Linked DNA regions of Struthio camelus. The protein of the gene in region 2 interacts with the protein of the main gene of each other region in a pairwise test. Links are inferred from orthologs where the notes say so. Each region holds a gene or a part of one and is shown on either strand. Other genes may lie near its edges.

Evidence for each region. The genes of interacting proteins can lie anywhere in the genome.
Region 1: the proteins of CCND3 (region 2) and RBL2 interact in a two-hybrid assay, tested with the Homo sapiens proteins (2 studies listed by BioGRID). The link is inferred for Struthio camelus from reciprocal best matches to the Homo sapiens genes CCND3 and RBL2.

The regions. Positions count from the first base shown.
Region 1 is NC_090951.1:18,704,381-18,711,390, reverse strand, and holds the start of RBL2 (retinoblastoma-like protein 2), read right to left. Parts: upstream 3,040-7,010; coding exon 2,830-3,039; intron 1,750-2,829; coding exon 1,619-1,749; intron 347-1,618; coding exon 146-346; intron 1-145. UniProt on the Homo sapiens protein: Key regulator of entry into cell division. Directly involved in heterochromatin formation by maintaining overall chromatin structure and, in particular, that of constitutive heterochromatin by stabilizing histone methylation.
Region 2 is NC_090965.1:6,406,199-6,414,256, forward strand, and holds the start of CCND3 (G1/S-specific cyclin-D3), read right to left. Parts: upstream 3,070-8,058; 5' UTR 2,951-3,069; coding exon 2,753-2,950; intron 725-2,752; coding exon 509-724; intron 1-508. UniProt on the Homo sapiens protein: Regulatory component of the cyclin D3-CDK4 (DC) complex that phosphorylates and inhibits members of the retinoblastoma (RB) protein family including RB1 and regulates the cell-cycle during G(1)/S transition.

The DNA.
Region 1 (7,010 bases), on a different chromosome or scaffold from region 2:
TTGGGGAGCAAAGACAAACAGACTACCTCTGATACCATAAAGAACTCCCATGGAAACGCAGCTAAAAATAAAGTAACTAAGCAACTTCATTGCATCTTAGTAGTAGCAATGCTCTAAATTAAGTCCGAAAATAACAGAAAACTACCTCTGTTTCCTTCCTCTCTGTTGACGAGGCTGATCTTCTTGAGGATACCTGAAAATATCCTGAAAAATGGGCTCATACTTCTTAAAGATTACAGCAGAAACTGTAAAGTTTCTCTCCAGTCTCTCAGTTCGTTCTCTGAATTGGGAGGGTAGATTTGCCATGTCTTCCCATTTCTTCATCTTGTTAAAAAACTCAATCAAGCTGAAATATCGAACAGGTTGAAACTGAGAGTTAATTTCTGGAGAAAGATATTTTGATGTAAGTAAATAAAATTTAAAAGTACAATTTTAGGAAATAGTTTACTTCCTAAACTACTGATAAAATGGCAGCGTTGCAAACAAGCATGACAATAACTATAGTTCGACGTACTCAAAGCCAGTCCTTCATCCAAACAAGACCGTGCTCAGACAACTCGAAAAATATTTCGGTATCTGTTGATGATCGTGTTAACTATATGTATTTACAGTTCTTTATTGGTTTTTCCTCACACAAGTGCAATCAACTCCAGTATTCAGATTACTATAAAATCAAGTTTTTCTCATTTTTCTGAATAACTCATCTGCTTAAATAAAAACAAACTCCGATCTCTTCAACGCTAAGAATACCTCTAAAAGTATGAAAAAAAAAAGCGAGTAAAACATTTTTATATGTGTTTCAATAAATTTCATTTCATAAATTCAACTTTCATTAATTTTTGCACTGTTTTTTGTACACCTACTTTTTCAATGTTGTTAGTCTTTTACAGCCCATATTCAGCTCCCTGCATTTCTGATTTGAAAAAGCTTTTTTAAAGAAACTCCTTTGCTTTGTTTAAATATATCCAACAGAAAACGAGAATGGGAGAGAAAGTGCATAACTAATGCTCATTTATTTGCCAGTCCATGTAATTGTTATAAAACCACCATACTGCTGATACATAAAGTCAATTATTTCATGAAGTTTTTCTTCATGACTTTACAGAAATAAACATTTGATAAAAATGTGTTTATCAGATTCTGATATCACTTTCTCTTCGTAAAGTAAGAACGCATGAAAAGTGAAGTCTTCTTCCACAAAACCGAAAACGTGTGAATGTCTGCACAGTCAATTAAAAAATGCTTTCTGATGTTAGTGTATTAGACCTTGTTCTAAGCAGAACACGCATGCAGACGTTAGGCTTTTGAACAGGCAAGCTCACCTGCTGCACCTTCTTCAAAACCAGAAGTTGGTTTCTGCCTCCCTTTGAGAGTGGGAGGGCAATCTCTGAATTTGAAAAAATCAGTGTTTTTGCTAGGTACTAATGCCCAAACGAAGCTATCCCACATCTGTGGCAATGAGCTATAGCACAAACATTCTGATTGTATAAATTCTACATATAAAAGCAGGAAACAAGAATGATGTTCAGTCTTTCCTCTCAATTTCTAAATTTTTCAAGTCGATACACAGCGATTAAGATTTTAAAAATTCCAAAAACCAGCAAAAAAAAAAAGTTACCTTTGTTCTGAACAGCGCAAAATTCGGGTTAAGGACACATAATTCCCCTCAACTGTCCCTCTGCTCACAGTTGGAATTGCTTTTCTGCAAGCCACATACAAGGCACACGCTAGCCAATGCAGATCGTTTCCCTGTGAAATGAAACATCAGGCATCGAAAAGACTCGATCAAAACGAAAAACACACTCTTCAGCTATGCACCCAGCACGAAGAAAAAGAATAAAACTGATTACACTCTCCGCTAACAATGTTCAAGCAACAGCAGAGTGATGCATTACCTCAAAGCTCTATTTAACGGTACTGCTAGACAGGACCATCTAAGAAGCCGGAACGATAAGAAAAGCAGATGCTAACACTGAATTACGTCAAAACAGAAACGTATCAACTACAAGTTACGTTAATAAGTTTCACAGCGAGCCGAAGTTTAACAGCATGCTTTCTTTTCAGCACTGCTCGTCTCCTGCGCTGCCTCGGCGTTACAATCGCAGCAGTTGCTCACTATCAAAACCTTCTTCCCTGGACGCAACAGGGGAATAGGAAAAGACAGTTTCCGTTTTTCTGTTATGCGGCTTAATAACTACTCGATGCGATTCCTAAAGACGGAAATTAATTCCAACCGTAACTATGCCTCTTTGACTAAACTGCAACGTTTAAAGGGGAGGCGAACGACAGGAAGGGGGCAGAGAAGGCGGCGACGGCTGCGGTTTCCCGGGCCGCCTGCTACCGCGGGCACAAGCGTGCGCAGACCCCCCGAGAGGCCGCCCCTTCCGAGCTTCTCAGCAGCCGACGATCAAGAGCAGCGGGGCAGAGGTGCGCTGCGGCCGGGCCGCTTCCTCCCTGGGGCAGGTGCGCGCAGCGCCCGGCACCGCAGGGCAAACGGCCGCCAAGGCGAGCGAAACCTGCCCTGCCTCGGCCGCAGGACCCCCGCGCCCCGGGGCCCTTGGCGGTGCTGAGCAGCTCCGGGACTGCAGTTAGTACCAGCCGAGGTGCTAACGCTAACCCCTCCGCTTGCTCGCGCGAGAGTTACGTAACTCCAGCACGGCTCGCCATCAGCGTTTGCTTTTCCGTTAATAAAACAACCCCCCCTCCCCACACCGTGTCCCGGCGCGGCCCCGCGCCGGCTCCCAGCCGCTGTCCGGCGCTCGCGAGCCCCGGGTTCGTTTTCCAACGGCCGCGGGGGGAGGGGCGCCGCGAGGGCCGCCGCCCCCTCACCTCCAGCGTGTAGTTGCGCTTCATGCTCTGGTAGCTGAGCCAGGCCTCGGAGCGGGCGCGCTCGTCCATGTTGAGGCTGCTGCAGAGCTCCTCGTAGCGCTGCCGCGTGTCGCCCTCCTCGGCCGGCGGGGACGGGGCGGCGGCGGCGGCGGGGTGGGGGGGGCCGCCCCCGCCCGCCGCCTCGGCCTCGTCCTCCTCCTCGCCCGGCATCCCCCGCCCCGGCGCTAGGGGGCAGCGCCGCCCCGCCCCGCCGCGCCGCCCACTGCGCCTGCGCCGCCGCCCCGCCGGCTGGCGACGCGCGTTCGAATCCAAACGCCCCGGCGCTGGGCCCCGCTCCCGCCCTCCGCCGCGCCTCGCCCTCCCATTGGACGGCTTGCGGGCGCCCAACCTATCCGCGCTCCCGGTGCGCGCAGGCGCGCCCCGGCGACGCCACAGACTTCCCCTCCCGCAATGCCGCGCGGCAGCCCCCTCCCGCCCTCCTCCTCCTCCCGCTCCCAGCATGCAGCGGGGAAGCACCGTGCTCTTCGTGACGCCACCGCGTCGGAGCGCGCGAGGTCACTTCCGGCGGCGGCGGCGGCTGCGGAGGGACAAGGTTAGGCGGCGGCGGAAGAGGGCGGGGGAGGGAGCATGGCGGAGGCGCTCCGCTGCGGCCCCGGGCTCCGCACGACGGCTGCTTCACCGCCAACAGCAGCGGGAGCCTCGGGGGGAAACGGCCGCGGGATTGGCGTAACCCTGAAGCGTTCGCCCGGGCGGGGACGCACGGTTGCAGTCCGCTCTGAAAGCACCAGGTGGCGCCAGAAAACAGGGGCTAGGGCGAGGCCTGGAGGGGCAGCGCCGGCTGGTGGTCCGTTAGGGCCTATGCCAACCGCCATTTACACTGTTCTTCTAAAGAAGCAACTATAATTTGTCACAGTATTCTGCGTTCTATTGGGATACATACTAATCTACTCTTTCAAAATCACTTTTTTTCATCTAAATAATAAAATCCCAAAATATTAAAAGATAAGCAAAATCTAGGTTAGGGATAAGGTGACGATGCTGTGGTTATACTGGCATACCTCCTCCCGTTTTTAAGCAACCGCGTTTTGTAAGTGATGTAAGATTTCTAAATGAGACCATTCAAGTAAACTTTTAAAATAAGGCCACTTTTAATTTAATGGCCTATTGAAATTTTACATAAGAAACATTTTCAGATGTTTTAGAAAGGCACTGAAATCTTTTTTCATCCCACAGGACTTCTGTTTACTGGTTCCTCCAGTGAGAAACCGCAGTCTCCTTACAAAACACAAGCAATGAATGGGTAGCAAATCTTGAAGCCAAACAGCTGCAGAGCGGTGGCACAGGCCCTCACTGTAGTAACCCAAAATACTGAATATGTCCTCTGTGAAAGGAAATACTTGAAATTGTGGCTAATGTTGTCCACCTCCAGAGAATAAGGCAGACTCCCAGATTACATACCAGTCAAACTTTGCTGGTGCAGGATGACCAACTCTTGGAAAGATTTGTGTAGGGAGAAACAACATGCATCACGGAAACCTTTTTCCAGGATTCTTCCCAGGGTCTTTTCCCAGCCAGGCTTCTGCTACTTCTGATACTGTGTCACCAATTTGCAGAACTTCATCAGGAACCTTGCAAAGTTCAGTATTTTCCTTTAAGCCTCAGCTGATGGAGACCAATGATCACAGGAAGATTTCAGCTTCCATTTAAAAAGGAGCATGTTTCTTCCCCTCATGTCTCTGAGAAACATTCATTGCACTAAAAAGCAGAAAAGGAACAATCTGAGATACCAGAGGGAGCAGAATTGCTCCCCAAAACAACTTCATTTAGGACCAAAACTAGAAGCAGAGCTTTCCGAACACTGGCAAAAAACTTCTTTGGGTCTGACAGGCAGCCTTTACTGGACAGTCAGGACAGCACCCAGAATATGATGCCCATCATTATGAATAAACAGACACTTGGAGTTTGCATTTACCCAGCTTAAAATTGCTGCTGCATTACAAAAGAAAGCAGTGTATATTTATGTTTCCTAGGACTAGGAGTTAGAAACTCCCTTGCAGGAGCAAAGGGCTGAGCTCCAACCACCTGTTTTAGCTGAGAAGCACAACCGAGATCAAACACAGCATGACGTGGAGGAGCTGACGCAGCAGCAGCTACCAGATCAAAAGCTGTTCACTTCTCAGAACTGGAGACAGCTTGAGGACATACTGTCAGTTTTAGTGAGCTTTGGTGAAAAGAGATTCCAGTACTATGTCTGGCACTAGGATCCAAAGAATTACCCAAAGCAACCTCCCTTACATGCAGAAGTGACAGTAAAAGGGCGAGGCTCAGCATTAGCTCCCTAGAACACAAATGAGAATTTTGCACTCTTAGCTCTTGTTCAGGATTGAATGGGACAAAAGGTAAGAGAACAAACCCTCATTTTGCTGAAAGATCTTATGGCTTATGGTGGGATCTTCTGACTGGTACTTGTCTCACTTCTTGTGCGGTGATTTACTTGCTGTGGGAACTCAAAAGGGAGGCAGGGTCAAAAAAAAAAACAAAAACAAAACCAAAAACCCTCATAAGCTCCATCTGTCTTATTTTAAAACATCCCCAATTCTTTGTAGAGACATACTACAGGGATTAATTTTAAACAGGACATTTTTCAAAAAGAAATCTGAATGTTAGCTAACTTTTACTTTGCATTACAGTATACAACACTCTAAATTGAACCTAAAGTTGTGTAAGTCAAAGTATTTTGAGGACATAAAAATTCTGAATGGAGATACTCAACTTACACATACTTCTCAGTCTCAAGACTTCAGCCTACCTTATTTTGTGTAAATTTTTCTTAATCTTTATATTTCTTTCTCAGTGGGCATTCTTCCTAAAATACTGGGTCCAAAATTGAAATAAAACAAACAAAATATTGTTCATCATTTCAGGCGGGCTGGATCTTCAGCAATAGTAAATTATGTAATTTATTCGCTCCACTGGAGTTAAAATGCATTTCAGCACCCTTCCTCTGTGTATATTGTCAACATTTTCAAGGCTTTAGCATCACTACTAGAGGCTAAATAAGATTTTCTTCTTCTAAACAAAAAAAAAAAGTTTTCATTTACAATTCTCAGATATTACCTAATTAAACAATGAAGTTAATAGGCTAGATCATCTGTTCTGATCTCTTCCTTTTCAAATGTGTAAGCAGAAACATGTTACTTGTACCAGGATGGGTATCTCTGCAAGGACCTCCTCCCAAAAAGCCAAGAAGGCAACAAAGCTAACTTCTACTCGGCTGGGGGGGTGGGGGGGGAGGAGGGCGCTTTATTTTACAAAAACAGGGCAGGCAACCTGAAGTGTAATGTCCTCCAGCATTCTCACCCGGCCCCCTACAAAACCACCCCTTCAGTTGTTTCCTGCCTGACTTTTCTGACAGTGCAAGTAATCTGGCCAAAAGGGTTTGCCTTGTCCAAAGCATCCCCTTAAAAAAAAAAAAAAAAAAAAAAAACACCCAAACCACACAACACACTCCAACTTGCAAAATTTGTCCTCCCTCAAAATGTTTTTATCTTATTTATCGTTTGTCCTTGTCTTGCATAATCACAGAATATTTAAACTTCAGCAAGCCTTTCTACAGAGAGAAGTACATGAGCGTTTCTACTGTAAACAAATACAGTGGCAGACAGGTTACTGGTAGAAGGGCTTTTCATTGCTTCATAAAAGAAAAAATTGCCACCCTTAAACCAAGGCTTTGAAAATACCCAGCTGTGCGCCGCTCCCTTCTGCTAAAAGTTGCACACCTCCTAGCAATAGCAGCTAAAAAAAAAAAAAAACACACCCACAAAACCTGTTCATCTTCCAGTCACCTGAGATCACAGTCTGCTCAATTAGCACAAGCTGCTCGTTAAGTGGATTTTCACTAATACACCAGGAAGTGAACTGAAACAGCTGAGATAGTCTCATTTTTGCTGTTCTCAACAAGATGCTGCTGTAAGTAATAGCCTATGCTGACTAGTAGCAATCCTGCTCATACATGTTTGTGTTTAAAATATTGACAATGTGCAACTAAAACACATATTCTTCCTCAGGAAAATGTTAATTGAAACTTACCTTTAGAGAGGCTCATCCATCAGAAGTCCTTGTTGTATCTTTTAACAAAAAAACTCTTCATATTATAAATCATTAGTTAAAAACAGAGGATT
Region 2 (8,058 bases):
ATGCTTCGTTTTCCTGCTGATGTGGAAACGCAACTCCCACGTCATGCCTAGAAACAGAGTCCTCGGCAGCGGGGGCAAGGCAGAGGCGCTGGCCGGCAGCCCCAGCCCCCTGCCGCGTGCTCGGCCGGCTGTGCAGACAGGGGCCTTTGTTCTCCTGAGCTGTCACTCGAGAGCGAACCAGCGCATGGGAGCGAGCCCAGCGTGGCAGCTCCGTGCTGGGAACGGGCACTTAAAAGGCGCAGGGAACTCTCTCGCTAACTTGGAGGCGACGCTGCTGCTTCCCAGCCCAGGGAGCGAGGGCCTGCGCAGGATGAGGTGGTCTCCAATGACAGGCAGCAACATCCACCGGGAAGGAAGCAAGGTTGGTTGGGGAACATGGTGGAAGGCGTTTGGAGAAACAAGAGAAAGGAAACAGAGGAGATACAAACACAGGTACGTTGCCAAGTAGCAGCATGTAGAAGATAAGAGCTGGGGAGGGGACGGAGGGCTCTGAGACAGGGGTGGTTACCAGGAGCTGCTGAGGTGTGATGGAGTTGTCTGTGTAAATGCAGAGTTTCTCCACTGTCAGGGGCATGGTCTCACGCAGCTTGGAAGCCAGGAGCATGCAGACAGCTCCCAGAAGCTGCAAGTGACTTTTTCGCATGGGCACTGAAGACAGGTAGCGATCCACATAATTCATGGCCAAGGGGAAGACCTCTTCTTCGCACTTCTGCTCCTCACACACCTGACAAAATCCAATAACAAAAGAGGAAGTTTTAATCGGCGCCCCGGATCCTGCCTGCACCACAACTTCAAAGCTTCTGGTCATGATGGTGTTTCACACATTTCTGAAGGGCTTTGATGTATCACCTCCATGCTAAGGTGTAAACCAGCTGCAGGTGCAAATCTTAGACTTGAACAGAATTACACTAGAAGAAAATTTGACCAGTGTCTTAAGACTTTGTTTTCCTGTGGAAAGCTGCAAGAGTGGTATGCAGTTAGAACACACAGACAAGCTAAGACCAAAATTGCTTTTACTTGCCCCTGTTTTTATTTTCCCCTGTTGGGGATGTCTACAGGTAGACAACCAGCAAAGCTGTGCATTTTCTGCTCTGTGGGCACTCAGGACCTCTAAGGAAAATTATCATTTCCAGCATGTCTCCAGCTGGAGACCTAATCATGCAGGAGCCATAGTCACTTCTGACAATTCCACCTCAAGTGGCCCAGAGACACAAGAAGAATCAATGGCAGAGTCCGTGGCTGAGCCCAGAAGTCTTTCTTCCCCCTCCTCTTTCTCAACCACACCTGTACCACAGCCATAAACAGAATCCAGGAGTTCTCCATTTCAGTCCCCTGTTCTAATCTCTCAACCAGTATCAAAGCCCTGGTCATATTTACTTCCTTCTTTCAATGCAACCATAAAAATATTGGAGTTTCTCCTCATACAGCAGCAAACAGCACCATTCTCTTTCAAACAGTTACTCTGCCTTTCCCTTACACAGACTGCTGTAAACCCTAGGACAGAGACTTTTTCTAAAAAGAGAACAAACCCCTCAGGGCAAGGCAGTTGTTTTGTGCATTTTCCTTTCTTCCACAGTTTTTAAAGAGAAAGACAAGTCAATTTCAGGTGCAAGTTCTAGTGTCTTACAGTTCAAGGTGAATTTGGCCTGATTTTAACGGGTCAAACATACGGCCCCAGAGCTGCGACTAAATAGCACAAGCCTCCAATTTTGCTTTGTGCCCAATCATGACAACTGCTTAGTATCATTCACTTTTAGACTGCCTTTAGAGCTTCACAAGGAACAGGCTCTAAAGCAACACTTATCTAACTAACCTCCTCAGAAAGCGAACTGCAGAAAGAGACCAACGATAAGAGGGAAAAACCTTTAAAAAAAGCAAGTTGCTCTATTACTTCTTTTGACAGATCAGGCAGCTTGCGACAGCTGCTGGGGTGGAGAGCAGGAGCCAGGCTCAATTGGAACATCATTTGTCCTCTGCAGGATCTGTTATTTCTTTTTTCTATTGAGACCGCTCACCCTGACCGTTTCAGAAAGAGGCCCATGAGATTTCCCCCACTGGGCTGTTTCCCACAGAGAGCTGCATTCATTTTTAACTTAGGGAAGTAAATGGTAGCGATGTTATTTTCCCCCTTTAAGCAAGCGCTCCCAGCCCCATTCAGGAAACTCAAGTCTCTGGACTCTCTGGTGCACAGCAGAGCGCTCTAGCCAGAAATTTTGGAGAGCAGGGTGGGAACAGAGGAGCCAACAATGGTGTGGCAGCACATTGCTGGGGGGGGGAGGGGGGGTGAACACAGGCTGCTGGGCTAAAGGGGGGCTGCTCCTCCCACAGGGGGAATCACATCTTCTGGCCCAACCAACCCTCGCATCAGCAAGACCCCACTGCAGATTGCCTCCCCGCAGCCACCTCCAGGACCCCCCCCCCCCAAATCCCACAGCCCTGACCTCCGGCACACACGCATCCCAGAGGCTCTCCTGCCGCCAAGACCTCTTCCCTGGATTGTCCCTTGCCCCCTGTATGAAGTAACCCCACTGAAAGCTCCCTCCCCCCCAAGTGAACGTGGGACGGTCACCCCTCCCTTCCTTTACAGCACGCCGCCACCAGCTCTCTCCTGCCGGAGCAGCATAGCTCACACTAGCAGCAGGGACGAAAGGGCAAGAAAAAGAGCCGGTGGCCGGACACAGAGCTAGATTTTGAGGCGGGAGAGGAGAAAGAAGCCGGGACCCGGCTGGGGTGGGGGGGGAGGGTGCCGTACCTCGAGCATCCAAAAAGCCAGCATCTTCCGCATGTGGGGCTTGATCTCCTTCTGCACGCAGTGGAAGTAGGAAGCGTGGGGACTGTAACGCTCCTCCTGGCTCAGCAGGTTCTGCAGCACCCGCCGGTCCCCCAGGAGCTGCGGGTCCCGCTCGGCCCTGGGCACACGGGGGATCCCTTCCACGCAGAGCAGCTCCATGGGCCCGGAGCCCGCGGCGGGGGCGGGGGAGCGGGGCCGGAGGCGAGGCGGCGGGCAGCGCGGAGCCAGCCAGCCAGCCCGCCCGCCGGCTCGGCTGCGCGGCTGCGGGGCGCCGGGAAGTCGCCGCGCTCCGAAGGGGCGGGACCCGCCGCCCGCACTGCAGCGCCGCGCTCCGAGGGGGCGGGGCCCGCGCCGCCTCCCGCCAATCCGCGCGCCGCCCTGGAGCGCCCTTGCCGGACGCGGGCGGCCGCCCCGCCCCCGAGCCGGCGCGCCGGCGCGCCGCCAGCACGTGGGGGCGGCCGGGGGGGGGGGGCGCTGCCATGGTGGAGGAAGCGGCGCGGGGGGGCTGGCTCCGGCCGCCCCCCCCCGGTATCGCCCCGTCTCTCAGCAATCCCCCATCGACCCCTTCTTTCACCCCCTTTATTCTCAGGGCGCTCCCATGTGCCTAAGGCGGTGCCGAGCTGTCAGAAGAGCCAGCTGTGTGCCCAGGGCACGGCCACCCCGTCCGAACGGGACAGTCCTGGAACTGACTGGAAGGTTTCCATCTTCATCTACCTCTTCTTTACAACTTCATTATTTAGTTCTATAGTTTGTTTTGTTTTGTTTTATGTCCAGAATCCTTCAAGGCTATGAACATAATCTGCTGTGTGCATACCCCAAGCAGGTCCCTACTGAGCCTGCTTGCTTCCAGAAGTTACCCTCGTGCTGTCACTGGTGCGGCTCCACAGAAGATAGCAACCTCAGTGTCTGCAGAGATAAGGGTTGTCAGGCATTGCTGCTTTTTCAAATAATTAACAATAGTTTGGAAATACTAGCCTTTTCAAATTGTGTACTGAGCAGCTGTTTACGCTTCCTATTTTTCAGGGAAAACACAGACTTTCAAATAACTTTGTACTGTGACTTCCACAGCATAGTAGGCATCTCAAATGGGAACGCTAGGTACTGCTCTAATGGACACGATAACTAAGAATTGGCTCTGTGATGCCAGGTAAGGAGAGTGGTGCCAGTGGGACTGAGGTGGCTCCCTGCAGGTCCAGAAGTACATGCTTAGGATTTGCTCTGGACTGGTACCTGAGCCCACGTCTACTTGCTCTAATTGCTTTTGGGTATGGAGATTAGAGGCAACTGAATATAATTCCGGCCGCATGGCTCTCTCTTGTGTTACTGGCTACAGAAATTGGGATGTTCTGACTTTCCTAGGCAACTCAGTTCAGTCAGACTTGTCTCCTTTGAATATCCTTGAGGGTACTTCTTACATGCCCCCAAACTTCCTAATGTCTTCTTTTCAAAATATTTTATTTTCCAAGCAGAGCATGGAATCACTCCTACTTTCTGGATTGCTTGTGTGTCAGATGTGAAGACTTACAGTTGCTTTTTATCAGCAGAAGACCAGGAAGAGCCAGAAAACAGTCTATAAAATGTACAACAGATTCTATAATTGGAAGACCAGGATAATGGATCGCCTTCAAGTTTGCACATTTAAAAATTCCCCATTGAATTGAAAACATACTAGGAAACTTTAGCTCAGGAGGTCTGTTTTTACGAAAGTTCATACAGGTTGTGAAAAGGAATGTGTCTGAATGAGGTGACTGGCCCATATAACCCTCTGACCATCCGTCACTGGGATGGTGCTGTACTATGGCAATTGCAGCAGCAGTGGAAGCAAATGATTAATTACAATCATAAATGTTCAAGGTGAGAAATACCTTCTAGATTATCTACTTCTCTCACTCTGCTGCTTTCCATTATTCCCTGCAAGTTTTGACTGCCTTATCATCTGAAATGAAGCATCTCAGTAGTACATACACTCCTGTAACACTCCTTTGCTCAGGGCAGTATATTCCATTTAATAGTGCCGTGTTACTGGGCAAAGACCATTCTGGGTGTACTGCGGAATGATAAAGGGACTCAGACTGAGATAAGCCGAAATTCAACTCATAGCAGCAATCCCCGTCTGGAATCGTAGGGGAGAATATTCATGTTCAGAACGGAATGGAGAAATGGAATTTGTAAAAATTGAGGAATTTGTAGAAATTGAGGACTTTGGGGATGCAGTGTCATATAAAGGGGACGCAACTGGAACATCTCTGATGAGTTCTGCTGGAGTACTCCTCAGTATATACACGTATATCCATTTTGAGTTAAGGAACAAAGACCCAAAGGAGTTAGCGACTGAGTCATCTGCCATATAAGTTACTTCTGTGTATGCCATTTCGACACGTTTGGTACTTTTTAGTATTTTCAGTCATCTAAAAACACAGTCTTTTAATCAAGAACAAACATACATAGTTAATAATCAAGCAAAACAAGACTGAAGTCTTTGTTCTCTGTGTTCAGGTGGTGTTTTTTTGCAAACGAAAAAATCTTTTTGATCAGAGGTTTAGAAGTTCAAAATACTACTCATGGCAGTGGACGCAAAGGTCACATATATAACACACTCAGTAGATTTCACACACTAGAATCCTCTTTCTACGCTTGTACAGATGGCTTTCATTTTCTGCAAGGTATATAGTTCATTGCCCGTTAGATGTCTTTCCCTCTCCTGGTCTTTCTTTAATCAGCTAGAATATTGGCTGGGGAGACATGTTCTAGCTACGTATTCTTAATGATAGCATCATCATTGATTTGTTGTGGTGAATGCACTGGGAATACCAGACAGCATGGTGATAATGACCTATAGGAAAAGGAAGAGATCAATCCTGTCCCTGTCTTGAAAGAAAAAAATTGAAGAATCTATGGAAGAGATTTCTGTGGACCAGGCAGCTGGTTTTAATCTGGGATGACCTCTTGTGCTCCACTCCTTCACTCTTTCATTGTGAGCAGCATCCCCCCTTTTGTACAAGGAAAGCAAAGGACCTCATGTCCCACATTTATAGTAAAAATAGACAGCAGCTATTTTCTTTAATCAGGCAAAGGGAAACCACAGCGCTGGGTTCTTGATCCCTCTGTTTTCTGGGCTGTGCCTTTTGAAATTGAAAGTTTCAGGCCCTATTCCAGACTTCATGGTCTTTCTCCCATTTCCCAGTGTTGGCACGGTGGTTCGGCTGAAGCCGGCCTTGGTGGCAACCATGGGCCATAGGACACGGAGGGGGGAAGATGAAGCCTGTTGCATAAGAAAGTGTTCCTTCCAGATGATGACTTGGCAAAACTGGTGCTTCTGCAAGCCACATTATCAGGCTAGAAAGGCAAATTACAGACTGCAGGCATCCTGAAAAGCCTATTGTGTGGGTGTGCGGAGGGAAAAGAGAAAATTCCAGGAAAACCAAATTTTGGTCACTGTTGTCCATAGATAGTCAACTTCCTGGCTTTGGCAGTAGACAGCACAGCAATATTAAAAAAGGAAATTCCTTCAGAGTAAAAATAAAAAAAACTGATGGTTTCTAGGCTTCCAGGATCTCAGACCAGCAATGTTATTCTTTGCTGAATCATAAAGGGGCTCATTTTTTTGGTATGATGATAATGAATTAAAGAGAGTCACCAGCAGCTGGAGCTTTTAAAGGAGCACTGTAGATGCAGGTCTGATTCTCAGCTGATGGTCAGCTGGTATCACACTTAGGCTTGGATCAAGGTTAAAGCCATTTATCAGGCTGGTTATTCAACAGGGCCATTTCTGTAAGCTCTTCTCTGAAGAAGGGTTTCAGCTGGCAATGTCACTTTGCATCAGCAGTGGGCCTGGCCCTAGAGGATGTCAACAAAGGATCAGTATCTTCTCTACGCTGCTTTCTGATTTCATATATTTTATAGCTGTGTTTCATCCGATTTTGATCTACCATGAGCTAAGCCATCTTCTTCCTTGGTCATACTGCAACTACAGCATCATCAGTGACATCAAAATGAAACTGCTTAACATACATCAAGGACCTGAAAACCAAATCCAATGAGCAAATAACTACATAATTTGCTGCAGGAAATCCCCAAAATAAAATGAAAAACAGGTACCATTTTGTGCATGTGAGAGAAAGAGCGAAGGCAGTACTTCACCCTTGCTATTTTAGGATTTCAAAGTACTTCACAAATCTTAATCTGTTAGATTTCACATCCAGTTTCCCCTAAAGTGGAGGGATATTGCAACCATTCCCAGCAGGAAAGAATAAGGGCTCTGGCGTACAAGGGCAGCAAATCATGCGGTGGCAGTTTGGTGTCGCTGTCTGCGATTGCCAGAAGTCCTTGCCCCTTTAGAAGGAGGTGGCTCAGCTTACGGTCGGCCATACACACATAAACTGCTGATAAAGACAGGCTGGTATTAGCAGGTCAGGCTGTGGAGCATACACCCTCATCTGCTGCACTGCAGCAGCAGGGCAGATGGCTGCAGGGAGACAGCACGTCAGCCCGTCGCAGACATCTGCTTTAGTTGCCCATGAATCAGAGGCCACAGGCACAAGGAGTTAAGTCATCTTCCCAGACTCATTCAGTCATTCCCTGGTTCAGTGGACAGGGGAGTCCAGGATTTCCTGGTCCTGCTCCCATGTTTAAACACAAGACAACTGTCTCCCTCCATTGCTGGCTCGCTCTCCTTCTTCATATCTTATTCATTCTTTACTTAGAAAAGTACTTCCACTGACTTGAAGGGAAGTTTGGTTGACTGCAAGTTCAGCATTGGAGGATTTGACCCAGGGGATGTGTTTCCTAATAGCTTTCCTATTACTGGCAACCACAGCATTCCCTTTCCTCTGACTTGGGCAGACTTTTGAATACAATTAATTAGTTCAGAGTGATATCATCTGAACACTGGATCTCAGCAACGCTTAGATGTATCCAGTTATGATACATATGAGCCTTCTGAAGAAGAAAGCGTGCTGCTTCAAAGGTCAAAACACAGCTTTCCTATTAACGCAAAAATATGATTATTTAGAGGGACTCTTGGTACAGCTTGGACCAATTGTCTGTTTAAAGCAAAATAAAAGTGTGACTGTTGATACTGCTTGAGTTTATGCTGTATCCAGCCCTTTTATATCTGAGCATGCCTGCTCCTGGGATATATATCAGTTTAATAATACTAGCCTCATAACTAAGATTATTAAAGGAAAGCAATAGTTGGATGTAGAGGAGCTCTTCGCTTAAGTAGCTTGCAAAACAGAATGAAAAAGTGATTGGAAAAAGGTGTGAAT